Diceros bicornis minor: one gene and its partner. The protein of the gene in region 2 interacts with the protein of the main gene of each other region in a biochemical or structural test. Links are inferred from orthologs where the notes say so. Each region holds a gene or a part of one and is shown on either strand. Other genes may lie near its edges. The genes, in order: ubiquitin-conjugating enzyme E2 E2 and RNF14.

What was found.
Region 1: the proteins of RNF14 (region 2) and ubiquitin-conjugating enzyme E2 E2 form a complex in vitro, tested with the Homo sapiens proteins (2 studies listed by BioGRID). The link is inferred for Diceros bicornis minor from reciprocal best matches to the Homo sapiens genes RNF14 and UBE2E2.

Annotation. Positions count from the first base shown.
Region 1 is NC_080741.1:28,441,301-28,456,791, reverse strand, and holds the start of ubiquitin-conjugating enzyme E2 E2, read right to left. Parts: upstream 8,022-15,491; 5' UTR 7,941-8,021; intron 7,294-7,940; exon of another isoform or gene 7,229-7,293; intron 2,703-7,228; 5' UTR 2,695-2,702; coding exon 2,519-2,694; intron 1-2,518.
Region 2 is NC_080740.1:60,074,585-60,090,115, reverse strand, and holds the start of RNF14 (E3 ubiquitin-protein ligase RNF14), read right to left. Parts: upstream 8,442-15,531; 5' UTR 8,407-8,441; exon of another isoform or gene 8,347-8,406; intron 8,340-8,346; exon of another isoform or gene 8,083-8,339; intron 6,103-8,082; 5' UTR 5,927-6,102; intron 4,478-5,926; 5' UTR 4,462-4,477; coding exon 4,308-4,461; intron 3,246-4,307; coding exon 3,094-3,245; intron 276-3,093; coding exon 1-275. UniProt on the Homo sapiens protein: E3 ubiquitin-protein ligase that plays a key role in the RNF14-RNF25 translation quality control pathway, a pathway that takes place when a ribosome has stalled during translation, and which promotes ubiquitination and degradation of translation factors on stalled ribosomes.

The DNA of each region.
Region 1 (15,491 bases), on a different chromosome or scaffold from region 2:
TCGTTTTTTTACTTAAAAAAGTAATAATGAAGCAGCATTTTTATATTTGAAACAAATAGTAAATGACTAAGTCACTTCAGACACTGCCACCCATAAACCACCTGGAGACCTTCTAGAGAAAGGTCATGAATCACAATTTGAAAATCACAGATTCACAGGAATAAATGTGCCAATGGAGGGCTTCTTTCAGCCAGGAAGTAACTTAAAAGATACTTCTTACTCTCACCAATACAACAACATCAATTTCTATTACATGCCAATCAGGCACCATCCTGGATTCTTCACACACGCACACCATCTCAAAACTAGATTTTATCCCCTATTAAAGACGGGGGAAAAAAGAAAACTAGGTTTGAATATATAATCTATACACACTGTAGTAAAATGAAGATGACCCACATACTTGAAAAATTCACACAATCCTCACTTTCACACATTATACAGTTCACTCTCTTTCATAAGCAGAAGCAGTCTTTGATACATCACCCAAGAAATATGATTTTGAGTTATTTTATGGTGATGCTCCCAGCCACAGGAAAAGGCAGGGCCTCAAGAAGGTGGACAGGAGTTTTTGCTAACTAGCAGTCACAGGAAAGCAGAGCGCAGATCCAGGAGAAGCTCTCTCCAAACCCCACTCCTACACACCTGGCCAGCCCCTCCTCTCTCTTTTCTGACAAGCTGAAGAGGCCCTGTGAAAACCCTCACTATCAGAAGCTGAGGACTGAATTAGAATTTCCTCATTTACATAGGGCCACAATCTGTACTTGAATCTCTCTTACCCACCCACCCCCAACCTCCTTTCTTTCATCTCAATGGCCCTTTTCTCTCCATTCCCACCTTTCTTATTCATCCTATCTCCACCCCCACTTCCCAGCAGCAGGTCATTTTGTGTTGTAGCAGGCAGCAGAGGGGCCAGGTCAGCCAGCTTAGGCCCTCTGGACTTGTGATGTGATAGCAAAAACAAACTGAACCCTTTTCCCCACACAAGCATGTTCTAGTATAGAAGTTTAAAGGTTTAAAGTTCGCGGCTATCTGACTTTCACACAACTCCTTCAACAGAGGTCAGGGATCAGCAACACACTTCTGGGAAAGGGAAACCGACTACCCTAGTCCCTTGGAATGGATTGCTGACCACTCACCGTCACTCCAACATCTCTCCCTAGAAAGTCACATGCCACCAGTGGGCCTGCGAAGGTTCTTCCCAAACCTGTGGATTGACTAGACCAGAGGAAAACAAGGTCTACTGACCATAACGGTTTTTGATCTTCAGGAAAGGAATTCCCCCTAATTGACACTATCCAATAAAATATAAAGCTATCAGTCAACATTCAGACATTTGACTATGCCTAAAATTTACAGACTGTTTTTATTTACACTACCTATTTGATATAAAAAAGGTATTAAAACAAAATAAGAAGATCAAATCACAGGATCAGGAAAGACGCTACTAAGTTTAATTTACCTTTAAATTATTTTCCAAGAGATATTCTATAAGTTAACAATATTAAAGCAGATTCCCCTGCTGAGTCCAATAACACGCCTATCAGCATAAGCAATTGATGTGGCAAGAGAATCATCCAAATATCTACCTTCCAGATCTATCTATTCTCTAAAGAAAAAGAAAATCTGTATCAAGACTGACCCACTGCCTAATATAACGAACCCAGGATGCATTAGTTGCTAACTCCAGCATTTCTCACTTTACTAACAGGGAGTAGTAGAAAATATACTATTACTCAATAACTATTTCAGTAATCTATTTCAATAGATTCCTACTCTCTATTCTGTTACTGAACAGAATAAAATATTTATGGTCAAGTAACTATAAATCAGACCACCACACTTTCACATGTGTTTTCTTGTATATGCTCACCTAAGAATACACAAACACACACAAACACAATATGGATATGTATTTTGTGCATCTGCCAAGTTGTTTTCGTTTGCGCCCTCGAGTCAATTCTGACTCTGGGTGCAGCAGAGCAGAACCCTGCCAGGTTTTTTTGCACCATCCTATTATCAGACAAAAGTTCTGCTGCTATTCACAGGGTTTTCATGGCCAATCTTTTCAAAAGTGGATGGCCAGGTCCTTCTTCCTAGTCTGTCTTAGTCTGGAAGCGCCGCTGAAACCTGTCCACTATTGGTGACCCTGCTGGTATTTGAAATACCAGTGGCATAGCTTTCAGCATCACAGCAACACGCAGCCGCCACAGTATGACAACCAACAGATCGTGGCTCCCTGACTAGGAAATGAACCTCGCCCCTGGCGGTGAGAACGCCGAATCTTAACCACTAGACCACGAAGGCTGGCTGCCACGCTGTTTAACTGATTTTAAATACCAAAAAGTTCATATTGCCTACAATTAAAACCATGTAAAAGAATTAATATTGAAGGAGAAAGAAAAATCCATGAACTTCATGGTCCACATACCAGAAAAATGAGTAAATGCAACAGAAAGACAGAACTTAAGACAATAAAGTGATACTACAAATAAAAAGGTTACAATAATTAAGGTACCTTTTAGCACTAGTTGACAATTTAGCAGCTGTTTTGCTGGATATTTTTCCCTCCTTTTTCTTGGGCTGAACTTGCTCTCTTTCTGGTTCTTGCTGAACACTTTCACGTTGGTCTCCATCAGAACTTCCTCCACTAGTACTTGGACTGTCATCAACTCTTTGTGCCTCAGTGGACATTTTAGATCCTGGATTAAAGAATCAAAAATCATTTATTCAGTTATGGGAGGACTATAATAAGGTACCTTGAGAATATAGAGAAAGTGAGCCTCAAAGTGGAACAAGTAAAGCTAATATAAAATGAATAAGTTTATCATTTACAAAACAGCTTTGTAAGTTGTCAAAACTTTTCTTTCATCCATTCAAAATGTACTGAGAGGAGAAATGAAAACATACAAAATATATAGACAGAACGTTCACAGCAACATTATTCATAGAGCCAAAAAGAAGAAACAACTCAAATGTTCACTAACAGATGATGTATCCACACAATGGAATATCATTCAGCCATATACAAGAATGAAGTACAGTATCTACATGCTACAACAAGGTTGAACTTTGAAAACATTATGCTAAGTAAAACTAGGCAGTCACAAAGGACCACAAACTGTACGATTCCATTTACATGAAATGTCCAGAATAGGCAAATCCAGAGAAAGAAAAGTGAATAAGTGGTTGCCAAGGGCTAAGAGTGAGGGAAGAACGGGCAAGGCCTGTTCATAGGTATAGAGTTTCGTTTTGGGGTGATGAAAATGTTCTTAAATTAGATAATGGTGATGTTTTGCACAACTCTGAATATTCTAGAAACCATTGAGTTACACACTTTCCAAGGGTGAATTTTATAGTATATAAATTACATGTCAATAAAGCTTTCTCAACAAAAAAAAATTGAGGGCTTACGCCCTACCAGACACTGAGGTAGGCCCTTTGGTCCCACAAGCATGAGAAACTTGGTCTAGTGGGTAAGCCAACTGTGCTAAGTGCTCTAACAGAGGTTAGCAAAAACAGCCACAAGGACAGAGAAATGGGAGACACTTTCACATCCATATCCAATGAATAAACCCTCAGGACAGAGCTAAGGTTAAAATCCTCTAAATACTAGTCAACTGTTTTAAGTATCCTTTGTGATAACAGAAGAACACAGAGGCCCGCATGATTCTAAATAAAAACTGAACTGTATGATGGTGTCAGCATTGATCCAGCAATATACCAAACAACCATGTTTCACACGAGATGGAGACTGTATTGAGACACTGAAAGATTCTTTTTTTTTTCCTTCCCACAGTCTGGATGAAATATCCCTTAAGGCTTTCAAACTCCCTTTGCTCTGAGTTCATGCTCCCCAAGCAGCTCTGATTACAAACTCAATTTCCTCAATACCTTGATACATAGGTAGCTGTAAAAACCTAGAGAGCAGACACAAAAAATTAAAGTAAGTGAAAAAGGATATCCCCTCTTAACTGTCATTCTATCATAACCGATTTCTGAGTTTGATTACTATGAACACAGCCCTTATGATCCAACTAGCTTAAAGTGTACTGACAAATCCAAAACCAAACTGACAAAACCCAGATTCTAAAGGGCCTTGTGCTCACCACGTTACTGTCACCTAATAACCTCTTTGAGCACCGTATAGCGATGATCTCAGGTTCCTCTTCATTAAAAAACAAAACTACCTTTAAGAAGTGACATTAACAACACAAAATATATCTTTAAAAATCATAGATAAATGGAATAAATTCCTTTTGAAAAAGATACTATATTACTCTTAATCAAATTAAGACTTGAAATAAAACTGTATTTGCTATGATCAAGAGTAAGAATATGTAAAAGAAAGATACCTCAAATAAAGCACTGTTTTTTATTACTGTAATTAGTCCAAACGTATAGCTACTTGACAATAATGAAAATTCGTCATCACCAAAGATTTAACTTGTACCTTGCTCTAAATCAAAGCGATTTCATAATACAGACCTGTAATAGATTGAAATTTTTATGTAAGACAAACCAAAAAGCATTGCAAGGGAAGGGAAGAATCAGGAAGCACAGAAAGGGGAAGAGTCAATAGAAAATACCAAATGCCTTCAATGAGACATCACCCAAACACACCACCACCACCCCTCTCAACCCCAACAGCTCCCTTCCCCCATGCCAAACAAAAATAGCTCTGCCCAAGCAATTCTGAAACACACTGACAGGAAAATCTGACTGCTTTTCTACCTATCCTGCAAATGGAGAGCATCAGTCTCCACAGCTGTGACATCTTTTATGAGCACTAAAGTCACTTAATAGAATACTGAAATTTTATATCAGTATGTTTCACATCTAACTCTAACAGTTCTAACATATTTCTTGCTTTTTTTTCATTTTTATTTCACTTTAATTCTCATCTTTGGATTTAACACTGATTTTTTCTTCAGCTTACTTCTTTCAGATAAAATATATCAGAAGTTTAAAGCCTTATAAGTATGCACATAAGAGCATGTTAGAAAGAACAGATGCGCATGGGAGTGAGAAAAAGAACAATTCTCAGGGAAAGGCCCTCTGATATAGCAAAATGCTGCCGGCAATATTTTAAGAAACGTGAAATAAGTGAGAAATTATTTTATACATCTTAAACCAGAAGCAATACATTACACGACAAATATATGGAAATCTAAATGAAATAAAATTCTTTGTTACTAAAGCTGGGGCTTCAGTTTAATAAACTGCCTAGAGTTTCAGTTGTATATCACATTAGTTATAAAGCTACACATTCTTAATATTCTTATCACTTACATACTAATACTGCCATGAGTGTATAATTACTTAAAGGACTACTCAATGATGTAATGTGAGCCATAATGTGAAACCCAAATTTCATCAACTGCTCCAGAATATCAGACTAAAATTAGTCTCACTACAAAACTATTAAAAATACTATTAAAAATACCCAAATAAAGGTATAATTTCTACAGTTTCACAACAAAGAAAAAAATCTATTTCCACTTTTGATCTAAGATACTTTATTTCATCCAAATCTTAACTTATAGATGATAAATTCATCTGAGGCCACTAATAACCACTATAGAAACTTTTAGAAACAAAGTTTTCATATTTTTTTCAAATATCAAGATTAAGGCAAATTTCTTCTAGTTTTGTTTTTTGAATGCCTAACTACAGAAAAAAGTATGAGAAAAAAACTATTGCACCACTCAGTTGGCAACTAATGTTTATGAAGAAAAAAGTAGTCTAGGAGCATTTTAATTAGTTATAAGTATAAAATTGGTGTTTTGTCTTTCTAAAGTACAAATGAATAAAAATTCCTGAATTAAAACTCCTTAAATGTTATCTCCTAAATCAGTATTTTAAAAATCAGTATTTTAAAATTATCTTTAATTTCTAAATAGCTAATTTGATCCAATCATGCAAGCTAGAGGGAAGATAAACTTAAATCCCAGGGTTATAAACATAGAGCTACACTTCGATTATGACAGTTTCAAAGATATTAAGATATTTAAATTTATATTTTTACTTTAGACTCAAAGTAAAACTTGGTTTCTAAACATAAAACAGTAAGGTAGACTTACCTCAAACATGTGTTATTTTAAGTATTTAGATATTGTTCCTTCTTCAACACACAAATTATCTAAGGCTATATTAGCTATATACTCTATGTTCTAAGTACAGTCCTGGAAATTAGCAACATATACATAGTGAATGAAACTCACATGTTCCATAAAAATAATTTGGTTATAAATATTACTGATAACATAAAACCAACTATAGTCACTCCATAAATCTGAATTACAGTCGAGATAAGCCTTAAATCTGTATCTCATGGTATAAAACTGCAAAAGCAAGTGTTCATTTGAGCTTTTACAACAGGAAAACGCTTAATTCTGTCATTTGATATCTTCCTATTTGTCTTCTTACGTTTCTAAACTTTTCTAAAACGGAAAATAAAATAATTTATATTATATGCACAACATCTAGCAATATTAAGCTCTTAACTGTAAAGATATTTATGCAGGAAGTAACAGTGAAACACCCAATTTTTGAGGAAAAGGTGCTATGTCCTGGAGGAATTAGAATGGGGTACGACAATACATGGAAACACTCCATCATCAGCATCAGCCCACATACAAAACTCTAAAGAACCAAGGCGCATCCAAACTGAGTAAACACAAATATTTAGATTCCAAGGTCCAGACTGAATTATTACATATTCAGAAACATACTTTTTAAAGAATCAGGGATAAAAAACTAAGCACGAGATAATCTGAAGGTAAACCTAGCACTTCCTTTCGTACTTTTAAATAAAAATATTTGCGTAGACTCTCAAGAATACACAACACAAAACCACGAATCTTGAAAACATGCAAATAGGTCTAACAGCCACGGAGCACAGGATGATGTCTTTCTAAAGCGGCCTTAATTTCCTTAAGGGAAGATGGATTGGACATTTCTGGTTGGTCGTGGGGAAAAAAAGCCACAAGAAGCTACGCTTTATCTTCATTAGAAATGGTAAAGGGCAAAAGGATCAAAACATTATGAGACCTGGAGGGGGGGCGGGGGGGGGTGACAGAGGGAATCCAGTTTCAAACCAGGCCAGTGGGGGCTGCAGAGAAGAGACCAGAGAAAAATGGGCTTCAGCTCCAAACTGTGACAAGCGCTAGGCTTCACAAAAGACAAACAGAACACACACTCCACACCAGGGCATACACAAACACACCCCACAGGGTCTCCTCCAGGCGGCCCACGGCGGTGCAGCGGCGGCGGGATAGCCAGACCCGGCACTCGCCAGGAGAGACACCATGTGCAGCAATTATGCAATTAGGGAAAATAGCAAAAGATCAAGCCGGGCACTTTCCACCGTGACATTTATCCTGTACTTTTGCGAAGACTTAGTTCCAGAATGCGGCTGGGAGAGGGAAAGGGCTGGGAGGGTGGCGGAGGATGGGGAACTGAGAACGGAAGGGGGTAGAAGATGGGCAGGGAGGGAAGAGGCAGAAGGGGGTGGATGGGAAGGAGGGGGAGGGGTGGAAAGGGCGAGAAACCGGGGCAGGAGGCTCGTGGGAGGGGGCGCAGGGAATGGGGTACGCGGGGGAGCGGGGAGGGAGGTAACTAGGGCGCAAGCAGTGTAAGCAGAGACCTGCGACGTGGAGGGGAGGTGGGGGGCGCGCCCGCGACAGGGAGGACGCCCGAGGGCGGGCACCAGCGCGGCCCGGGCGAATACCTGAGGGAGGGGCGTCCGCGCAGGTCGCGGGCTCGAGCCCAAGTGCGCGGAGAGAGGGCTGCGGAGGCGGGGGGAGGGCGGCTGAGGAAGCCCAGAAGACGGGGTGCCCCCGCAGACCGTCTAGTCACCGAGAGCCGGACCCACGCACCACGCACCGGACCGCCCGGCCACGCCTGTCCCCGCCGCGCTCGCGCCCGCCCGGACTCACCCTCAGCGCCGCCGCCGCCGCCCCCGGCCGTTCCAGCTCCGGCTCCCGAGGCTGCTGCTCGCGGCTGCCGGTGTGGCCGCCCCTCAGTCCTGGAAAGTGAAGCCACCGCCTCCGTGAGCCGCTGCCGCCGCCCGGCCGTCCGCGCGCGCGCCCGCTCGGGAGAGACCGCGAGAGCGCGAGCCCCACGTCGGCCGTGCCGCGCCGCGCGCCTCCCTGCCCCCCCACCCGCTCCGCCCCTCCCCCTCCCCGCGCGCGGCCGCGAGGGGGCGGGGGCGGGCGCGCGCACGGGCGGGCTGCCCCGCCGGCCGGGCGAGGGGGCGGGGAGGAGGCGCGGAAAAGTAAAGTGACAGCCGAGTCCCGAGAGCGGGCGCGGGGGGGCGCGGAGCATCCCACGGAGAAAGAACGGCAGGGACCGGGAGAGGTGAGGGAAACAGAGACTGACGGGGCAGCTTGAGGGGAGGGGACGCGGGGACCTTGACGGGCACGCGCATTAAAGGGAAATGCTGGCTGGGGGTGGGTGTTGCCCTAAGACCAAGCAGGGGACGGCGTATTACCCCCATCTACTGCGGCCCTTGGCCTCACACTTGCCTCACAGCTTTCCCGAAGCAGCTACAGGGACAGGGTCTGACCCTGTTGACATACTAACCAAAACTCGACGCGTGGTGCCCACATGCACCCAAGATGGGAAAACTTCGCATTGGCCTGGAAAGCTCTCCAGGCTGAGCCAGACTCTTCACCTGACACGGCAACACGAATGTCTTGCTGCCTTTTGGCTTGCCCTGACCCAGAATGTACACTAGTAGCCGGGAGCTGGAGCTCCAGGCCCTTTATCGCTGGGATACTGGGGAGAGAGGTGGGGGGAGGGGGTAGCAGCAGTATCAGAGCGAGTGGGAATTTGCCTTACTGCCCGGTTGAAGGGTATGGAAACAGCAGTGCTGTGGGTGACCCGAGGGAACATTAGGTTCCCCTATAATCTTCACCCCAAGTAACCATTAAAAAACAAAACATTATGCCTGCTATACAAACTCAGCTTCCACATAATTTCCCCTCCTCCGTCTCCAACCCAGCCCCTCTTACCAAGTGACTGCTACTGCTGCTCCTAAACCTCTACTATATAAAAACTCAGGAGCTGTTACTGTATGTGGAGAAGGTGTCCTGCCCAGACGGAACTGAAGACAGCCCCACAGAGCCCAGAGCAACTCAGGCAGCTAAAGATAGTGCAATAAGACCCCAGAGGACAGGAGCAAGTCAAGATCCATTCATATGTCTAGACGTGAAGATCCTTTTACCAAATGCCGTCTACAAAAATTGACTATTACTTTATAACATCCCTGAAAATTGCCAAAAGCAGGTGTTGGTTTCTAGCCTCCATTAATCACCATTGAGCAAAAAGTGGATGTTTTCTTGTGTATCACTTCTATGTATCACTCAAGGATATCAACAGGCCGTGTTACCTTTAAACTCTAAAATATATATTGGAGGAATAGAAATTACCATATCCTAGGATTATCATCAATTAGATAGTCACCTATATCTCTCATGTAGTGCAATATATTAGTAGGAAAAGATGACATAAAATGCATCTTATATGTTTGCTTTTTAATTTTTAGAATATGACCAAACTAGAGCATTTCATAGACTGCCTTAAATGTGTGCATAATTTATCGCATGAAACCTTTATATATTAATATTTTCATTTTACTGATTATGTTTCAGTGTGTTTTGCAACTGTTTGGTGAGGGTGGATGACAGAATCCTCATTTCCTAAGTCTCTATGCTTTTCTCCAAATAAACTACTCTTATGTATACTCTTAGGTATATATCCAGTTGGTTTTTGTTTGTTTACAATTAGTATTTTATAACAAAATTCTCTTCTATTACAGAAAGTATCAAAGTTGTTTTTTAGTCCTGGTCATTGGTAGCTGGGGGCCAGGAATGCAGCAATGTCAGCTTCCAACTTTATGGAAGGATTGGAGGAGGTTTCCCTGCTTAAATGCTGAAACTGGTTGCTACAGTACTTCATTTACCTGTAGATGTTTTAACTGCTGTATACTACTTACTAAGTTTAAGAAGGGTATACTACAAATCAGAGTTACCCTTTTCATTGATTCACGGAATATTTATTGAGTACCAGGTGCTGTCTAGGTGGTTGGGATATGACATTAAAGAGAAAAATCCCTGTCCTCACAGAGCTTCCCTATCTTTGACCCTGCTCTTTGTTTTACAAGCTACATCCAATTCATCAGCAAATCCTGTTGACTCTGCCTTCAAAAATATATCCTGAAAGTATCTGCTTCTTCCCACCTCCCTTCCCATAGCTAATCTGGTCCAAGCCACCATCATCTTTCAATAATAGCCTCCTACCTGGTCTTTCTACTTTCCCTATCCACTCCCCCTACCACCACACCCCCCATCCCCACACATGACAATCTGAGTGATCCTTTAAAACATAGGTCTCTTCTCTTCTCAAAACCTCCAGTGGCTTCCCATCCTAGAGCAACAGCCAGAGTTCTTACAATGGCTGCATGGCCCTATATGATCTGCCTGCCACCCCCAACCAAGACCTCTCTGCCTCACATTGTACAACTTCACCCCATCCTCATCTCCCTCCAGCCACACTAGCCTCCTTGCTATTATGGAACACATCAAATATTCCTTGGCCTCAAGATTTATAATTTCCTATCTCTAGAACATTCTTCCCTCCTACCCCTCGCCCAGCACTTCCTATCCCCCTCTTCTGCTTTATTTTTCTTCATGATCATCATAATAAATCTGACATAGTGTTTTTTTTACTTATTTATTTTAGTCTTCCCCTTCTCCCCTCCTCCTCCCTCCCACCTCCTCCACATATAAGCACCTTGAGAACAAGGATTTTGTTGGCTGGGGTTCATTGTTGTATATATTGAATGAATACTGGTTAAGTGAATGAAATTGACCTCTTTCAGTTGATGGCATGTTAGACATTGTTCTGATTTCTTCAATAACAGTAATTAGCACTTACTGTGTTCTTAATTTGTACCAGACTAAGTTCCAGCACTTTACATAAATTAGCTCACAAATACCCCATAAGGTTGGTTTTATTCAGTCAACCCTACTGTACAGATGAGATCACTGAGGTGCAGAGAAATTCAGTCACTAGGCCGCAGTCATACAGCTAGGGAATAACAGAGCTGGGATTTGAAATCAGCAGTTAGACTCTGGAGTCTGTGAACTTCAGGACACTTTAACATGAGTCCAGTGTTACAAACATAGATTTTACTTGATTTTCTCAGTTCCTTTCCCCTGAGACTCAAACTTGGTCTCCAAAACAAGTAGCTCACCTTCCTTGTATTTCCTGCCCTGGTCCATCAATCTGTCATCATGAACTCACTCTCTCCTACACTTCTTATTTCTGGGCTTTAATTTAGAGCCTACCTTTTTTCCACTAGAATTGGCAAATGGGAATGTTTTTTGGAGGGCCCTTCTTATAACTTTCGTTACTGCCAACTTCATGAGTAGATAGAGTCACAATTAGTTTTCCAGTTTGACTAGAAGAGTGATAGAAAAGACCTGTCTGGGAGTAACTGCTGGATTTCAGCAAAACGCATCATACTGGCAGAGCTGTTGCTTGTTTAGGCAGCTTCCATTCTTATTAGGCACCCAGTAATCAGGGGTTGTTAAATATTTGGATTGTACCCCCTGGAAGAAATATCATATTAGCTTAAGTTTACCAAAGATTAGGACCCTGAGAGAATGGGATGGAAGAGAATCATCTTTTGCTTACAGCCTGGTTTGAAAGGGGCTATAGGCACCCCGTGGTCACTCTGAATGTCTTGGATACTTAAGAAGGACAACACTGATGTGGCAAAAGTGAAGCTCCATTAAAGCTTAGACCCTAGGACCTCGTTACTTAGCATAATACCAACACAGAGGCATGCACCAGGTGTTGGACAAATGTTTGTTGCATAAATGAATAAATGGATGAATTCCTAACAGGGAGTGGAAGAGTGCTGGGGACAAATCCCCCTGACTTCCCCACTTGGTCAGGGACTGCCACCTGAGCCACGATTGTATATGTTGCACACTGCAAAATGTCAGGGGGCACCATTCACATAAATTAAGATGCAAACACAGAAGTTTGGCTGCTTCTCCCACCCCTAGCCCCTGCCCAAGCATGGTAGTCAGTCTCTAAGATGGCCCCAGTGATCCCTGCCCCCTGGTATTCACACTCTTGTGTAGTACCCTTCCACATCATACCAGGGTTGGTAGAATGCTGAAAAGTGATAGTACATCACTTCCGAGATTAGTTTATAAGAGACATTAGGGCTTCCATCTTGGTTGTTGGCTCTCATTCTCTCTCTTACTCTCTCTCTCTCTCTCTCATCATTCACTCTGGGAGAAGCTAGCTGCCGTATTGTGAGCAGCCCTACAGAGAGGCCCATGTGGCTAGAAACAAGTCTCCCACTGACATCCACGTGAGTGAGCTCAGGCTCAGATCCTTCTGCTTTAGCCAAGCCTTCAGATGATGCAACCCTGCTCAACATCTGCAGTGCAACTTCATGAAAGACCCTGAGCCACAAACACCCAGCTAAGCCACTCTTGAACCTTGAGATAAAAATGTTTGTTGTTTTCAGCCACTAAGGTTTGAGGGTAATTTGTTATGCAGCAATTGATAATGAATACACGTGCTTTCTGCTCTCTAATGATGAAGTTCCCTCCTCCAGGCGGCTACATATCAGGGATGCTACTGCTGTGGTAGTTCCTACAGGCAAGGAGTCCCACTCATACTGAAATGGGCTATTGCAACCAACTTCCCAGAAATACAGAGGGGCTTCAGTAGATGCTGAGATATGGGTAAAGGGTCTGAAGAGAGAGCGTAGGCCAGGAATGGAAAAAAACAGAAGTGGTTCAGAGGCGTCATCTTTAGACACAATAGAAGTAAGAAAGGAAGAATCTGCTCTGAAAAAGACTGTCAGAACAGAGGAAAGAGTAATGACATGTAAGAGTCAGAGCTTTGCTGAGCAATGAGATTGTAGGTAAGGTTTTCTTTGTTATAGTTGTTATATTGTTATTAGTACAATAAATAAAGATATTTTAAACTTAGGGAACCTCAGAAGGAAACAAACAAAGTCAAAAGGAGGGAAAGTCTTGCCCTAATTTACACCTTTCTTAGGCGGTACAAAGATGCTTCAGAACTGGGCTATCTCGATTCATAATCCTGGCTCTGCTTCTTCCTTGCTGTGATCATGGACAAGTTACTTAACTTCTCACTGACTCAGATTCCTTGTCTACTAATGAGGCTTATTTTAATGGCTAATACTTACATAAGGGAAGAGAGAAGATTAAATGAGTTAATATATGTAAGCAACTTAGAGCTTGAAATAAAACGAATGTCATAGAAGTGTGAGCTACTAGTCTTCCTAGTGCTTTGATAAGTGGGAGGTCATGTCACCCTCAAGTCTGGGTTTTATCTCACCTGAGTTTGCCACTTTTTCTTGCACATAGTCTCCCGGTCAGTCACAGCAGCATGTCTCCTGCATCCTGTACTATTTAAAAGCATATGTCCCCTAGTTTGCTGTGAGATACTCAAGGGCAGAGACCAAGCTTATTTATCTGTGTGTCTACAATTTAAAGAGTAGGCACCCCATAAGGGTTGGTCAAATTAACGAATATCCCTGCTTTTCAACTGCTATTTCCCCAAATTATGGAACTTTGGGAGGTAGGTGTAATTGTTCCATGTCGTTCATTTCAAAACCGTTTCAAAGAATACTCTTTACTCTTTCTTATAAATTCAGGAAATATATTAATGAATATTTTCCAGAGCTTTATGAACCCTCTGGCCCTCTCTGAAGATTCCATGAAGAAAAATTGTGAAATCTCCTTATATATGGCCACAATGAAAAAAGATACTATTTGTTGTCTTTATCTTACTGCTTTTATTTTTCTCTCCAGTCATCTTAGTACTCCCTTCTGTACTTGGAAATGCACAATTTTTTAATATACCTTTATCAAGATATAATTCACTGACCATACAATTCACCAATTTAAAATGTGTAATTCAAACGTTTTTAGTATATTTGCATATTCGTGGGAGGGCACAATTTTTGTGAATGGAGAAGAATAAAGACTCTTCTGCTCTACTTCACTTTCTATCTATTCTGTTATATTTTTCTGTTGACCGGGGCTTACTGTGAGGACCCTGTAGGTAAACAATTTGTTTGGGCTCCCTGGGATTAGTAGTCACACCAGGGTCAAATGAAAAGGTAGCATCATCAGAGAAGCCAAGTGTCAAGGCCCCCAGTTGGTGATTTATCTTACTAGTCTGGCCCTATTCAGGTTGTGTCCTGGGACACTGGCATCTCCCCTGTATCAGTTGAGTCTTCCAGGATGCAGACACCAAGATGAAGTTAGAAGTGCAAGAGATTTATCTATGTATCTATGAAAGAAAAAAGGAAAGGGGAGCAGGAGTAGGCAGGGAAATCCTTCAGGCTACAATGCAGGTTTGACACCTGTGAAAGGAGAGAGGAATGAAGGAGGATTGAGTAGGAAGAGCCTCAGATGGCAGCACAGCTCTAGTGCAGTCTTGTCCAGCCTAACAAAAAGCTCCAGTGCAAAGACTGCCCCTAAAGCGGTCCCACATTGGGCAGAAATGGCCAGATCCTAGTGCGTCCGTCATACTTAGTCATTTGTTGAGACTCCCCAGGAAGAGCATGTCCTTGGCTCAAAAGGTAAGATGGGTCCTGAAGGCATTTGTAGCTGGAAGCTGTCTGCTAATTGATCTCCTCACATCTGATAGGCAAGTTCTTTCTTGAAGAGTGATCCAAGCCCTGCATCTCCATAGCTGCACACTCCCTTTGCCTCTTTGTCATCAGAACTCCACATTCATGAATATAGTTTGACACTAGACTTGTGTTCGTCCATCTGCCTTGGACTTGCTAACTTGGATGACCTCCTTCACTCATGCTATTGCTCACCGTCTCCACTTTAACCTAGGTTATAAGCTTTGTGCTTTTTTAGGGCTGGCCCCGTGGCTTAGCAGTTAAGTGTGCCCACTCCACTACTGGCGGCCCGGGTTCGGATCCCAGGCGCACACCGACGCAGGCTTCTCCGGCCATGCTGAGGCCGCATCCCACATATAGCAACTAGAAGGATGTGTAACTATGACATACAACTATCTACTGGGGCTTTGGGGGAAAAAAAGGAGGAGGATTGGCAATAGATCTTAGCTCAGAGCCAGTCTTCCTCAGCAAAAAGAGGAGGATTGACATGGATGTTAGCTGAGGGCTGATCTTCCTCACAAAAAAAATAAATAAGCTTTGTGCTTTTTTGTGTGTGTGTGAGGAAGATCAGCCCTTAGCTAACATCTGCCAGTCCTCCTCTTTTTGCTAAGGAAGACTGGCTCTGGGCTAACATCCGTGCCCATCTTCCTCTACTTTATATGGGATGCCACCACAGCATGGCTTGACAAGCAGTGTGTCAGTGCACGCCCAGGATCCAAACCCGGGCCGCCAGCAGCGGAGCACGTGCACTTAACCGCTTTGCCACCGGGCTGGCCCTTAAGCTTTGTGCTTT
Region 2 (15,531 bases):
AATGATTCCACATCCTGCACAGCTCTCTCATCCACAACTTCCTCTTGATCTAAATCAGATCCAGCAGCTCCTCCAAAATCTAGCTCTGTGTTGGGAGAGGCTTGAGCTGTCCTTCTCTGCACTTTTTTCTGAGAACCCATCTTGAGCTCAAAAGGAGAGACAATATTCAGGTATGCTAGGGTCTCTTCCTTAAGAAACTGCATCCAGGCAAACAGGACCACGCTGCCACGGTGTTCTTCCCACAGGTTGTCTAAGTGTTTGCAGAGAGCAGATAGCTAGGAAAAAACACATGAGGATGCTGGTGAGTTTGGAAAGATGATGATGCGGTGAACTCTTGATTCCTCTTGAAATCTTTTTAACTTGTAAGTTAGGCCATTACACTTCCTAACAAAATGTTTTACTGCTGTGATAAACTGTGGGGCAAAAAAGCACCAATATTCTTATCAGAGCACTTCTTAAACTATTCAGCAACACCAGCCACAGCAGAACACAAAGTCAGAAGCTAAGAGAAGTACCATGAAAACAAGAGAAATGGCAAGACTCCACAAGATGCAGAACTAGGTTTACATGTGAGCTACTGAAATGGAGGATTCTTTCTGTTCTTTATTTGTTCTTTGTTTCAGTATTGCTATATATCTCATGTAGGAGAAAGGGACCTAGTTCTAAAATGAACTATTTCTGTTCCTTTGGAGTTCTAACTCTGTAGGTACCCTGCAATAATGCTTAGAAAGAGAACAGTTAAAAAATACCATCCAAATTTTAAAATTAATTCTAACTTTCAGTCCTATCAAAAAGCCAATTCATGGGAAAGAATCACTAACAGAATCCAACCTCAGAGTCCTTATTATTCACATTTAGAAGCTGGGCTTAACAAGCAATCTGGGCTTAGACCAGATCCTGGTCAATGGAGACAGGCTGACATTGAATCTGGTCATGATTACAAACCTTCAACGTGGTTTGGCAGCCACAGGGAAAGCTCATATTTCCTAAGCTAAGCAACCAAAGTTTAAACTATTGCAACTTTTCCTCCTTAAAAGTGGTCTGTTCAATTTGAAAGACAAATATAAGAAGATTTTCCACTAGAAATGTAAAATATTTGTAAGTAGAGCTCAGGAATTATAAGCAGCTTTTCTTTTTAGGTAAATATAAAAAATAAGCCTTCCAGAGGCCAACAAATTTTGTAAATTTTAAATAAGTGAAAAAAGACCACCTTTTCTGCCCCTTGCTCTGCATAGTACTGTTCACTAAATCCTACATGGACACAAACTTAAACACTTATTGTGTTAAACAGTTCAAGACTGGACACCTTTTTCACACTTGCATGAATATGCTGATAAGATCAACCATGCTTCTGAGAAACCTGCTGAAATCTGTAAAATGTAATAAATACTAAAATGGAAGTTCTGAGTGCTGTTTGAGCCATGAAGTCCAATGAAAAAGTCATTCTCCTCCCTCTTTTCTTCTCCAGCCCCTTTTCAAAAGAGGCAGCTGGGATGCACATAAATGTGAGCGAAGGGGAAAGAGAAAGAGGAAAAGAGCAAGAGAGAGACTGTGTATGTATATATATTGGGGGAGAAATAATGGAAAATACTAGAAAACTAAACCCACTTCCCTTCTATCTACCAATCCCAATTCAGTGAAAGACAGGTCCATGTAGCAACTTTATCATCAACAGGTGAAATTCATAATGCCAAGGACTCAGGGCCCAGCAACAAACGAGAATTGAACCAAGAAGGAACATAAAAGACCAATTAAAATGTCAATTATATGTACACAAATTTATTTGATAAAGAATCCTACTGTAATTTCACAAATGATGAAATGTAACACATAAAATAATAAACACCTCTCCTCTCCTCATACCCCCCAAAAGCTAGCAGTAAGTAGATGCTATTTGCCTGGAATCTGAAACTGCAACCACACACCCAGTTAATCCGTCTTTGTTTTGTGCATGTATGTGTGTGTTTGCACATATCCATGGACATAAAGTATCAACAGCTCTCTGGAGAAAGGGGACTATAAATATCTAAATAATTCAGGCAACTCTCGATGATCTAAATGTCAAGCAGCCTTGATAATTTTGGGCAAATAATGCACTATCTTGTATGTCTTGCCTCTGGCACAGATATTAGAATGTAAGGTAATATTCCTTTTTACTCTACTTGTATTATCCTCTTTTAAAGTTTAATTTTGTTTTTAAATCATAAGCTCAATTTTACAAAAGCACTCTCATCTAAATTACTGGACTGGGGGAGGAGAATGAAAACTACATGATCAAAAAGGAAAAACTGACAAGCTGTTCCTTGAGGTCAAGTAACTGACAGCTTTTGTCTTAATATACATCAGCCTATCAATCTTCATCATGACTTCCTGGAAAGCAGCTACTATTGATCCATTATCTATTGCAGAATAATAATTTATATTCAAGTTATATTTATGTCTCAATCAAGAGTTGAGGTTGTTACTAGAAAAGAATATATAACTCGGAGGAAATGACGGTTTATAATATAAGGTCTCAAGCTTTCATGAGATATCTACAAGAATCACACATATTTCTATTGTGTGCATTTATATCTGTGTAAGACCAGTCAACAGTTACTGTTATTAACATATACAGATCTTTAAAAATAAAAGCACTTATTATGTTTACTTAAAAATTGTATTTTACTTAGGAAATTATTATAACCACATTAGCTCAATTTTAGTCCTCCTAATTACAATTAAATCTTTCACTTGAGGAATGGATAAGAAACTAAGGAAAAAAAAGTAATACCAACATCTAAGAAAAATGAGGACGACCCTATAGTCTCCATTATAATACAGATTAAATGGGAAAATGGTAAGAAACAATATACTTGATTAAAAATTACTCCTACTGCAATTCATAATGATTAATCATTCTAATTATTGCCATTCCTTTCTAAAACACATTTTCAATTCATTAACATTAGGATTCATGAAGGGAAAAAAATTACAAAATCAAAGCAATTTGTTCTTCATGCACTGAATTCAAGATCACCAAGCTAGTCTTCAATTAAAGATGATTTTTTAAGTTTTTAAAAATGGATAGGAGAAATTAGTTTCGGGTCTAACCTGAGTTGGTGACAGCCATTTGCCACTAAGTGTGAATGAAGGTGGGGAGGAGGATGGATAATCTGGTGGCAGTTCAAAGTTCAGCACAAGTGGAGGCAGAAAGCAAATGGTGTATTCAAAGCCACTATTCGGGAGACACTCATTTGAATTGCCTGAACCAAAAACAAAGATGAGAAAGGATCAGCTGGTCAACACTTGAGTGTCCATTACTGTTGAGCAGTGCTCAAGAGAGACTTAATGCTTTAGTTGAGGGGATAAAAACCCTCCCCCAAAGCCCTTTCTATTCTCTAATTTTAATTTTGTAGCCACCAGCTTAAAAAAAATCTTGTAAGCCTTTGAAAAATCTACTAAGCACCATGAAATTTATAATGAAGATACACAACTTACCTTTGTATACACTTTTGAGTACAATTCCTAACACTAATGAGCAAGTAATACACAATGTTTTCTGTTGTTGTTGTTTTATAGTAGATGATTAAAGACACAATCCAGAGAAAAGGATGTTTATTTCTATCAAAGTGCCATGACCTACTTAGACCAGTATGTGCCAACTACCCATGAATCATAGCTGGGAGAATCTGTGTCAACACAATGATCTCAGGATTGAGGGCAAGATACAACACACAACACTTTCAAAATCAAAGTTTCATTTTAAATGATCACACTTACTTTCCTTACTCAATGCCTTTATAGCAGAAACATTTTGAGAAAGTGTGCATCAGTCTTCTGTGAACATTTGTATCAAAAGTGGCAGTTTTTTGTTTTTTTCTGAAGGAAAAGGTCACAGAGTAACAGCACGTTATGTGTTTGTGGTAGCTGAAATGATTCTGGAAACCAAATACTATTAACAACCACCACGGTACTTGAAAGCTTTCCAAGTGTTTTCACATATATTATTTCGTTTTCTCTTTTATTATCCCTATTTAATAGCCAATGACTCATGGCTAATGAACTGCTAGTTAGAAGACGATTAGGATGCATGAAATATGCAGGATAATATCCAAATTCAGTGGTCAAAAAGCCAAATCATACTGAAAACTGTTTATCCCCCAGTCCAATTTTCAATTAAAACAGAAACATGCATTAAATCTGTAATACTACCATCTATCACTAATGCATATAAACACAAGATGACAAATAATTTAGCATACACTAAGAAATTGAGAATAACCTTTATTTAGAAAAATCTGTTTAAGAGAATATTATTAACTAACCGCTCACAAATATCTTGAAATTTTGTGGCAAGTCCAAATAGATCCTGGTTTCTCCACCTTGGACAGATTCTGCTTTTCTAAATTCATCTCCATCATAAATACTCGCCAGGGCCAGCAATTCATCCTCCTGAGCTTCTCGGTCTTCTGACGACATTTAACTTTCTGAGGAGCTGAAGACAATCATTTCAATCAGTTAAGAACAGAAAAGGCACAGTTTGGAAAAGTCTAGTGGCACCAAAAAAGAAAAAAATTTTTCCTCACAAACAACTACAAAGGATTAATCAATATTCTCACTTTTCTGCTAAACTAAAAATGACAGGCATATCTAATATTACAGTAGCTTTGCAATAGTAACAGCTTTTTCAAAAAGGATGGTTGTGGTGCTTCTAATTGCTGACTTGAGCAGTTAGGTATAGCTGTTTAGGGGAAAAAAAGCAAAATTAAAAACATTTTTTAAAAACAGGACAAATCACATATTACTTTGACTTGCCCACTAAACCTAGCAAAGTGCCTTGCCCACAAAAGGAGTGAAAGTATATTTGATACACTTCTTAAAAACAAATGAATTTTAAAAATCCACAGGAATCTCTAGGGCAGGTTTTCTCTACCTCAGCACTACTGACATTTTGGAACAAACAATTCTTTGTTGTGGGAGGCTGTCTTGTGCATTTTAGTATATGTAACAGCATCCCTGGCTTCAACCTACTAGATGCCAATAGGGTATCTTTCCCTCAAGAGTTGTGACAATCAATAATATCTCCAGACATAGCCAAATCTCCCCTCCCTCATGGGGTGGAGGTGGGGGGACATAAAATTGCTCCCCATTGAGAACACCCTGTTCTAGAGAATGTTACAGGGACAGATACTATTTAAGACAGTTAGACTACGGAGGAAGCAGCAAAATAACATTAAATTTTTGAAATACCACCGGATTTTATCAAATCAATTTTAAGATTTACCGTTATTTTGGGGAATGCTAAGAATAAAAATATGCTACAATTAAAGTGTGAATCAATGCTTTTTTTTTTTTTTTGGTGAGGAAGATTGTCCCTGAGCTAATATCTGTGCCAATCCTCCTCTATTTTGTATGTAGGACACTGCCACAGCATGGCTTGATGAGAGGTGTGTATGTCCGTGCCTGGGATCTGAACCCGTGAACCCCAGGCCACCAAAGCAGAGCATGGGAACTTAACCACTACGCCACGGGGCTGGCCCTGAATCAGTGCTTTTTAATCACAGCAACTGAAAGATGCACTGTAATTTCAGATAATTTAAATATGGAAAAAATATGTAATGAGAATCTATAAAAAATTACTTTAATAAAACAACAACAAAAAATTACCACTCTGTCAATTAAAATATTGGGCTATAATTGCACTTGCAAATATGCTCCCACTTGACTAAAATATTTTTTTTAATTGAAATGTGTAAAATTGAAAAGTTAGGACACAGTTTTTCACATTATAAAAGGTGACACTACAAAATTTAGACAAATTCATTTAAAATGATTCCATTTTCAAAAAACAATTTTTGTCAGCAGATGATAATGGTTCAGCTTAAGCTGCATCCCTATCCCAAATAGAACACAGTGACAGGTTCTATTCGAGGTCAGTTAGTACCTGTTAATAACAACTAGAAGAAAAGGATATTAACACTGTAGTCTGTATTTCAGTTCAGAATTTGGAATTCATGGAAATCCCATTTATTCTCCAGGCGGTGGAGATGAGATTGCTGAAGGTGGATAAGAGGCCAAGATGTGGAACTCATACTAGATATACTATAGAAATCTTGCCATCTGCAGAAAAAAAATACAAAAGATGGTGTTAGGACCCTCTCCAAATTTAAATTCTGAATTTCCATTATCACACTTAAACACATCCTAACACACAGTCAATGCTAATCTACAGCTGCATATTACTGTCCTAGGACAGCCCAACTGAGCCACGTGGTTATAGAGGCATCTGCAGGTCCCCAGCAATGAGAGGCCTTCTTATCTGACTGCCTTCAGCCCTGGGAGGAGCTTAGGAGGAACACCAAGCTCATATGAGAGGACAGCACACTGTGCCCCAAAACAAACATCATCTTGGGTTGTTTTTTTCCTCCTTTCCTCTTCTGCTTCTTCTACTCCTTCATTTCCTATCCCCCTCCAGTTTTCCCTCTCGCCTATTAGCAGTATACTTCAAAACAAAACAAAACAACAAAAGCACTTGCACAACACACACACAAACTTTTAAGTTCTATTCTAAAGGCTTTAGAGGCAGGCTTCTTCACTGGGAGTGAGGGGGATGGGGTGGGTGGTCCATAGATGGGTTATGGAGAATCCTATGAACACCCTGAAATTGTATGCAAAAATATTATGTGAAACCATAATTTTTAAACCAGATTCCCAGATGTGTGACTCCCAAATGAGCTAAGAATGAAATACAGACTCAATTTACATTTATTGAGCACCTACTATGTACTGTATTTAGGTCCTTTCACATTACCTTATTTAATCTTAACAATCTTACCAGGCATAGTACATGGTGATAACACAAGCTTTTTGTTTCTTCCTGTTTAAACATTCATAAGTGGGGTGAGAGATGAATTTATAAAGTTTCTGGAGGTTAGTGTTCTCCATCTTGTCTGCACATTAGAATCACCTGAGGAGCTGCTTTTTAAAATTTCAATACCCAGGCTGTACTTTAGAGCAATGAAATCAAGCATCAGCACCTATCCAAGCTCTCCAGGTGATTCTAAAGCACCGCCAGGATTGACAAGCTCTACTCCAGCAGTGTTTCCCGTCAACAGCTCCTCATGCCCTACCCCACCAGACCCCAGCTTCTGAAGCTGCCACTGGGTCCCAACCCCTTAATTCATGATGCTGACCTACATTTCCTTCTGATTCTATCCACTCAGCCTTCAAGACCCACCTCCAAAGCCCCTATTCCTTGTAGAAATTTCCAATTAGACCTCGTTTTTCTCTAAACATCCCACAAACTTTTTTACTGTAACTTTCCTATGACATTCACATCCCACCTCGCATTACAGTAGTTTAAGAACTTGTACTTCCTCTCCTTCCAGACTACATTAGTTCCTTAAGGGCGAGGATCAAGTCTTTTGCATCTGTGTATTGTTCTCAGCATCTAGCACTGCCTTGCATTAGACACTGGAAAAAATGAGAACTTATTTCTAATTTTTGGGGTGAGATGCAGTGTGCTGAAATGGGGGACCAGAATTACAAGGTTCAGTTGCTGCTCTGCTACATCCCACTAGAAGCAGGAGACGTCGGTCGTCACAATAACAGCACGAACAGTAACAGTGAGCTCTTACCGTGTGTCAGGCATTGTGCTAAGCCCTTTAAATGCATTAACTCCTGTTCGAGTCCCACAACCCCAGGAAGCAAGTCGTATTACTACTTCCATGACACCGATGAGAAATGACAATTTAACTCCCTTTCTGGCCCAAGGTCACCCAGCTAATATTTAACTAAAGCTGGATTCAGACCACCCTGTTTCTTCATCTGTAACACAGGAACTAGAATAAACCCGGCGCCATTGGACGAGAGATATTAAGTTTAATATCAGTTCTGGCAAACCGGAAACCGCTACCCGAGTGAGGGAAGCCCCTCCTCCGCCGGGTCTCCCTCCGGCCTGGGAAAAATCCTACTCATGCCCCCAAGGCACACCCTTCGGACTTCAGCCTCGGAGTCAGCCGTGGCTTCGGGATCCGCACTGCCGCCGGTGTCTCCACTGCTCGCCACCCCGCGGGCCGAGTCGTTGTTTGTGCGACTCACCTACAACCGGGGGGCAGGCCCAAGCCTCGCAACCTGCCCGGCGCTGGGACAGAGGGCGCTGTGCGGCCGCGAGGGGCGGCCCCGGGCGTCCCGAAGGAGCAGGGCCTGGACCTTCTCCTTCCTCCTCCGAGCGCCCCGGCGGACCTCGGCCGGGCCGGGCTGGGGGCTCCCCGTCCCGGGTTTGGGGAGCTGAGGCCCACGGAGCAGTCCCGGCCCGGCCGCCCTTCTCTGCCTCGAGCGCCCGGAGCGCGGTCCCCACCGTACCTTCCGGCCACTAGGCCGTGCCGGGCCCGAAAGTTCCGCCCTTGCCCCAGGTTCCCTCACCGCCACTCTGGCCCAGCCTGCAGACACCCGGCTCCACCTGCGCGCCGCCTCTTCCGCCTTCGGAGCTGTCAGCTGAACGGGGCGGATCGGAGGGCTCTGCGCAGCCGCCGTGACCGCCCCCGTCCCTTGGTCGCCCCCTGCTGGCCGAGGCGGCGCCGCGGGCGCGACCACCGTCACCCCCACCGCTGCCTGCATGTCTTAGTATGCCTCTGGAGAAGTTGATGCATATGCAGATTCTGGGTCCCCGTGCCCAGGGGCCTCCTTTCAGTAGTTTTGGGATAGGGCCCGGGAATTAGAACTTTTACCAATCCCTGGAGGTGATCGTGAGGCAGCGGTCTACCTGGGGCAGACACTCCCCTAACAATCCAGACCTGCTCCTCCACGTAGGCTAAGCAAGCCTCCTCTCCCTCCCGCCATCCCAACTACCTTCTCAGAAATGCTGCTCATCTTTCTGACACCTCCACTAGGAAAGCATTCACTCATTGTTCATACTGTAATAGTAATAACTACCACGTTTATGGAGCAGTTAGGATGCTTCAAACACTTTGCTAAGTGCTTTATGTACATTTTCTCTTTATCTTCACTATAACCTTACGATTTAGATACTATTTATTATCCCCACTTTACAAATGAGGACGTTGAAATTTAGAGAGGTTCAAGAACTTACTGAAGGGCACATGATTATTGAGAGGCTGAGCAGGAATTAAAATTACATGCCCCCTACCTCATGCCATATACAAAAAATTAGTCAAGATGGATCAAAGACCTAAATGTAAGAGCTAAAACTATAAAGCTCTTAGAAGAAAATGTAGAAGTAAATCTTTGTGAACTTGGGTTAGGTAATAGTTTCTTAGGTACCACACCAAAAGCATAAGCAGCAAAAAAAAAAAAAAAAGATAAATTGGATTCATCAAAATCAGAAATTTTGTGCTTCAAAGGACACTATCAAGAAAGTGAAAAGACAACTCACAGAACAGGAGAAAATATTTGCAAGTCATGTATCTGACAAGGGTCTAATATTCAAAATATATAAAGAACTCCTGCAACTCAACAATAAAAAGACAACCCAATTTAAAAATGGGCAAAGGATCTGAATAGACATTTCTCCAAAAGAGATATACAAGGTCAGTAAGAACATTAAAAGATGCTCAACATCTTTAGTCATCAGGGAAATGCAAATCTAAACCACAATGAGAAACCACTTCACACTCACTAGGATGGCCATAATAAAAGACAGATAATAACAAATGTTGGTGAGGCTGTGGAGAAATTGGAACCCTCATCTACCGCTGGGAATATAAAATGGTGTAGCCACTTTGGAAGACAGTTTGACAGTTCCTCGAAAAGTTAAACATAGAGATACAATAAGATCCAGCAATTCTACTCCTAGGTACATACCCAAAAGAATTGAAAACATATGTTTGAACAAAAACTTGTACACAAATGTACAAGTACATTTGTATATATTTACATTTGTATATATTTATTTATGTATAGTGTACCTAAATGTACACCAAAGCAGCAATATTCACAATAGCCAAAAGGTGGAAACAACTCAAACGTCCATCAATGGATAAATGGATAAACAAAATGTGGAATACCCATACAGTGGAATATTATTCAGCTATAAAAAGGAATGAAGTATTGATGCATGCTACAACATGGATGGACCTTGAAAACGTTATGCTAAGTGAAAGAAGTCAGACACAAAAGGCCACATATTGTATAATTCCATTTGTATGAAATGTCCAGAATAGACAAATCCGTAGGGACAGAAAGTAGACAGCCAGAGGCTGAGGCAGGAGAGCATGGGAAGTAACTGCTAATAGGTGTGGAGTTTCTTTTAAGGGATGGAAATAATGTGGTATTAAATAGTGGTGATGGTTGCACAATTTTGTGAATATACTAGAAACCACTGGCTTGTACACTTTTAAAGGGTGAATTTTATCATATGTGAATTATATCTCAAAAAAAATTTAGGTACAAAGCACTGTTCTCAACACTTAAGCGGGATGCTGAAATGTTGGTTCCTGCTTCTGGGAACCTTCAAACTAATGTGCCCCTAATGATCTAATAAGCTCCTGTGTCCTTCTTATCATATACTTCTCCCCACAGGAAAGCAACCTGCGGAGCTAGGGCTCTAATCCAAGCCTACAGGATTCTAAAAGTTTTCACCACCAGTGCCTCCCAGGCAGGACTGGCTTCATGGGCCAGCCACCTGTGCAGTCACACAGGACCCTGTGCTCAGGAGGGCTTCAGGCTTAGAAGGACCCTGCTCTTGGTTTAATGCTCTGCTATGGCCATCTTGAAATTCTTCATACTTTTCGAACAAGAGGCTCTGAGTTTTCATTTTGCACTGGGGTCTGCAAATTATGTAGCTGGTCCTGCACCCAGGAGATAAGAAAAACCAAGTGGGTAAACTGAGGCACTAGAGGTGCTTACCTGGCTGCCACAGAGGGAAAACCTTGAAATGCAAATAAATAATCATTCCTAATTTTCTGTACTGTCACAGAACAGAAACCTAGCTACCCCTGTAATAGATACCAAAACCAGAAACATACTCCTTAAAAATGCAAAGGAAGGAAGAAGAATCTCTGAAGCCATTCACTAATATCATTATTCTTGTTTAGCCAAAAGAAATAAAACCAAGAGCAAAACGCCTGGCAGCCCTACCTCAGAGTGCTCAGAGGTGAGACCGTGAGTCCTGCCAGAGACCTTCCGATGCAAAAAGTGAGGAGCCTAAGAGTTAGCTCGGGAAATTCTCACAGAATCAGAGCAGGAGGTGAATTGTGACATCATGTCGTGACCTCATATCAGATGCCACAGGATGGAGGGCAAAGAAGAGAGACTTTCAAAGCAATGGTAATAGTTTGGATGAATGTTCAAATCGGACTCAATATTTAGAGACAAGTTTTGAGGTCAGGATTGGATAAAGAGAGTTTTCTAATAATTTTTATTTTTTTGACTACATAAAAATAACAGACTTTCATGTCTTTGGTTTCACGTGCCTGAATAGTCTTTTTGTTTTTTTTGTGAGGAAGACCCGCCCTGAGCTAACATCTGATGCCAATCGTCCTCTTTTTGCCGAGGAAGATGGGCCCTGGGCTAACATCCGTGCCCATCTTCCTCTACTTTATATGGGATGCCGCCACAGCATGGCTTGATGAGCGGTGCGTTGGTGCGGGCCCAGGGTCTGAACCAGCGAGACTTCAGGACGCCAAAGCGGAGCGTGCGCACTTAACCAATGCGCCACCAGGCCGGCCCCATCGTGTGCCCGAATGGTCTTTTAAATTGAGCTTTCCCCATGTGCCCAGCCTTCTACTGTGTTAAGAACTTTACATGCATTGTCTCATTTGAATACCCAGGACCCCATGACTGAGGTAATTTTGTATCCCCATTTTACAGATGAGCAAATTGGGGCACTAAGAGGAGAAGTGATCTGACCCGTGTCATACAGTGGTGACAGACAGGATTAAGACCATTTCCTCATCAGTGTGACCCTCTCCTGTAGCCTGTAAGAGAATTAGAGTTTGTTGTAACAAATACAGAGAGAACAAAATAGTTCTGGCCTTAAGAATTAAAAGAGAAAGCCCTAGGGAAGTTAGGAATAAAGTTTATGACATAATGATAGGCGAGAATGAGCATACAGAGAGAGAGAAAGAGACCCAAATCAGTTGCCTGTCCCCAGGGACACTAGATGATGGAGTCTAGGGCTAGGAGAGGGTGGCATGTGTGACCTAGACCTGAGGTCAGGACCCAGTCCATTGGGTTGAGAAGCAAGAGTGAGTCACAAAATATGTGTAGTGACTGTAGGGACTGGCAAGCCTTCCGTCAGTGCCTACGCTTCTTCCCATCCGTTGCTGGCGTCCAATGGATGTCCAGAAACTTTGCTGAGCTCATCCCACCTGCTCAGTGGGGGCAGCCTCCTTTTCAATGGCCACCACTCACAAGCACCCCTGAAACAAGCCTTGACACACAGAGGGGCATCAGTGTGGAGGGGAAAGCCCTGTCCCAACTCTGGGATAAGACTGGAAAGTGGTGAGCCCCACCCCAATACTATAGAAGTATCACTGAATTCCCACTGGTGTCTTGTCATTGTGTATTTGCTCAACATGTAGACCCGAAAAGGTTTACTATCATCACACGGGAATCTGAAAAATTGGTTTTTCTCTAAAATGGGGGCTTCATTCTAAAAAAGAAATTGGGAGCTACTACACTAAAAGCACGGTTATCAAGAACTAACACTGAGTGCTACCCACATCCCAGGCCCTGCTCTAGATGCTGTGTATTGACTAAGCTAAACCTTACAGCAACCCTATGGCATAGGTACTAGCAGCAGCAGCATCCCTATTTTAAAGCTAAGGAAACTGATCACAGAGAAGTTAAGTGACTTGCCACTGTCACACAGATGGTAAATTTCAGAGCCAAACTTTAAACCCAGGCCATTGGAGTCCTGAGCCCACATCATTAACTCCAATGCTTTGCTTACATCAAGTTAACACTTTGCTCAGGGAGAATGGTCAGTTGAGTGTGTAAAGATAAATAGCCAGATCACCTGCGCGATCAGCTTCCCTGGTCAGTGCAGTGCAAACAATACCTTAGGCCATCCCAGGTTTATAGAAAAACAGATTCCTAAAAAGGCTTGAGACGGCTGATAGTACAAAATGTTTTCTGTGCTTCTGATGCAAGGTAAAATTTGATTTACAATAATAGGCACAGAATGATCATGTTTATACTTGCAACCTGGCATTTTATTATTATTCCCCTGAATAACAGTGGAAAGAGTTTTGTAACCCCAAGGTAACATGGCTCTGTAAGAAGGAAAGAGGGGTGAGATTTAGCAGCAGCTGCCATCATAAATCAGTGTGTGGCTGTTTCTCCTGAGCTCCAGGCTCAACTCCTGGCTGTCATAAACTTCTGAAGGGAAGCCCCATGAGAATTTATGTAACGATGGGAAGACTCATTCTCCTTCCTGCAAGAACCTTTCTGAAGCAAGGTGAGAATTAGGTTCATTAGATTCCATGTGAAGAAAGAAAACCAAACCAATGGTTTAGAGGATGGGAAAATGTGGGTCAACTTCAGCTACTTCCCTTGCCAAAAAAAAATTGACCTTGTAAATAGAGAACATGCTGAATTCCACCAAATAAATGAATGACAAGATGACTGACTAAATTAATGAATGAGTGGGATCCCGGCTTCCTCCGGGGTGGTTCTTTCAGTGTGAGAACAGTTCAATTCTGGAGTCACCCAGAAATGATGAATACATAACAAGGCCAATCAACATAGTCAGCTTCTGAATATTCATGCACAGATGATGCTCCCAGTCAATATGTTTGATTTTTGTGTTTGCTGATGGATTTTCAAATTCACTGTGTAAACCAAAAACGAAAAAAAGAAGAAAACAGAAAAGAAACTTGTGTTGAGAGCATACATTACTTCTGAATAGGCTTGCCAGATAAAAATACTTATACTAAAAAAATTTCCATTGGTTATCTGAAATTCAAATTTAACTGCATGCCCTATATTTTTATTCGCTAAATCTGGCAACCTATTTCTGGGCTAATAACCCTATGTAGAAAAGAGGGCTGAGGACAGTATCTTGGGGACAGGCCCACATCTGGGAGTCAGAAGGAAGAAAAACCAAAGGAGGAATCAGAGAAGCAGACAGAAGAGTCTGCAGAAGTATGGAGGGGGGACCAGGTGTGCACAGAGCTTCTGCTGAGCAGTGACACAGGCGCAGGGGAAAGTAGGGACCAGGAGGATGCTCAGTAAGAAAGGCCTGATGGCTATAGAGTTTGGTCCTTACAAAGTTGCTGGTGCTTCTAAGACGTTGTAACTCAGTGGTTCTCAGCAAGTTGGGGTGGAGATGGGGTGCATGTCAGAATGACTTACAGAATATCAAAACTGAAATCTACATTCTGGAAGTAGCCTACTTCTCCTCTGGGGGTTGGGGAGAGAGGCATAATATATGAGTAACCCTTATCAACTCAGAATTTATGTAGTCCAGTTTTGGGGCCCTGATGTGGTTACTAAAGCACAAAATAAATTCTAAATATTTTCTAGCATTTTTCTTGAAAAGCGAAGGAGATCCATAGTTACAACCATTCATTCGAAAGTCCTTATCTTCAACCTACTTCCTTCCCAGCCCCTGCTGTTCTTTAGCACTCCCTCCATAATTTCCTGAACTTTCAGCAGTTCCTCTCCCCTATCTATTTTTCCTTTTATTATGTAGATGAATTAAGCTTCTTTTTCCAGCAAAAAGGTCCAATCAACTTCCCCAATCCCTGTCCCAAATGATCTGAAAGATGAAGGCTTTTTGAAAGGGGGAGAAATGGAGCTGGCAATTATGAAATTCCCTTTGGCAGGCTGGGAAAGGGAAAAGTATGATTTTTCTCGCCCTGTTCATGGTATTTTGAAAAGCTTTCCAAGTGATTCTGATATCTGGCCCATTTTGAGAGCTACCACTCTTAAGCAAGATACAAAGCCTTTTCATTTCTTGAAAAGTCCTATTTCTTGGCAAATTTCCCCCTGCAGAGTGCATTCTTCTTTCTGTACTGGGCTCAGAAGGAGGAGACATTGTGTGGGAGTGGACCTCTGTCATCTATCCCAACAAAGTGCCATGCCAGGAGCAGATGACCCAGAACATCTACCTGAGTCTCCCAGTCAAGATTCCTGGCCAGACTGGCTCTAACTTCAACAATATCCTGTTGAAAAACAAGAGGCTGACCTTGGGTGGTCCAGTCACCTTCTCAATCAGAATGATTCTGAAGATGAAGCTTCCCAGCTTCATCAAAGCTGCCTTGGTGGTGGTGACTGTGGCAGCTGCTGGGCAGATTCATGAGGAGCCATGGGGGTGGGCAGCCAGCCCAGCAGGACATTCGTAGTGTGAGGCATGATCTTAGCCTTCATCCAGCTGGCCTGTGAGTCTCCCAAGGGCCAGAGTCCCACCCTGCTGGTGTGACCCCTCAAGGTTCCTCAGGACTCCAGGCATTTTGAGAAGATCCTCTGACCCCCATCTCTCCCACTCAGCCCCAGCCCCTTCCCATAGCCAAGGACCCAAGTGTGAACAACCCCAAGGTTGAGCAAGACCTCCAAGCACCAACCTCAATCTGCCCTTTAAAAAAA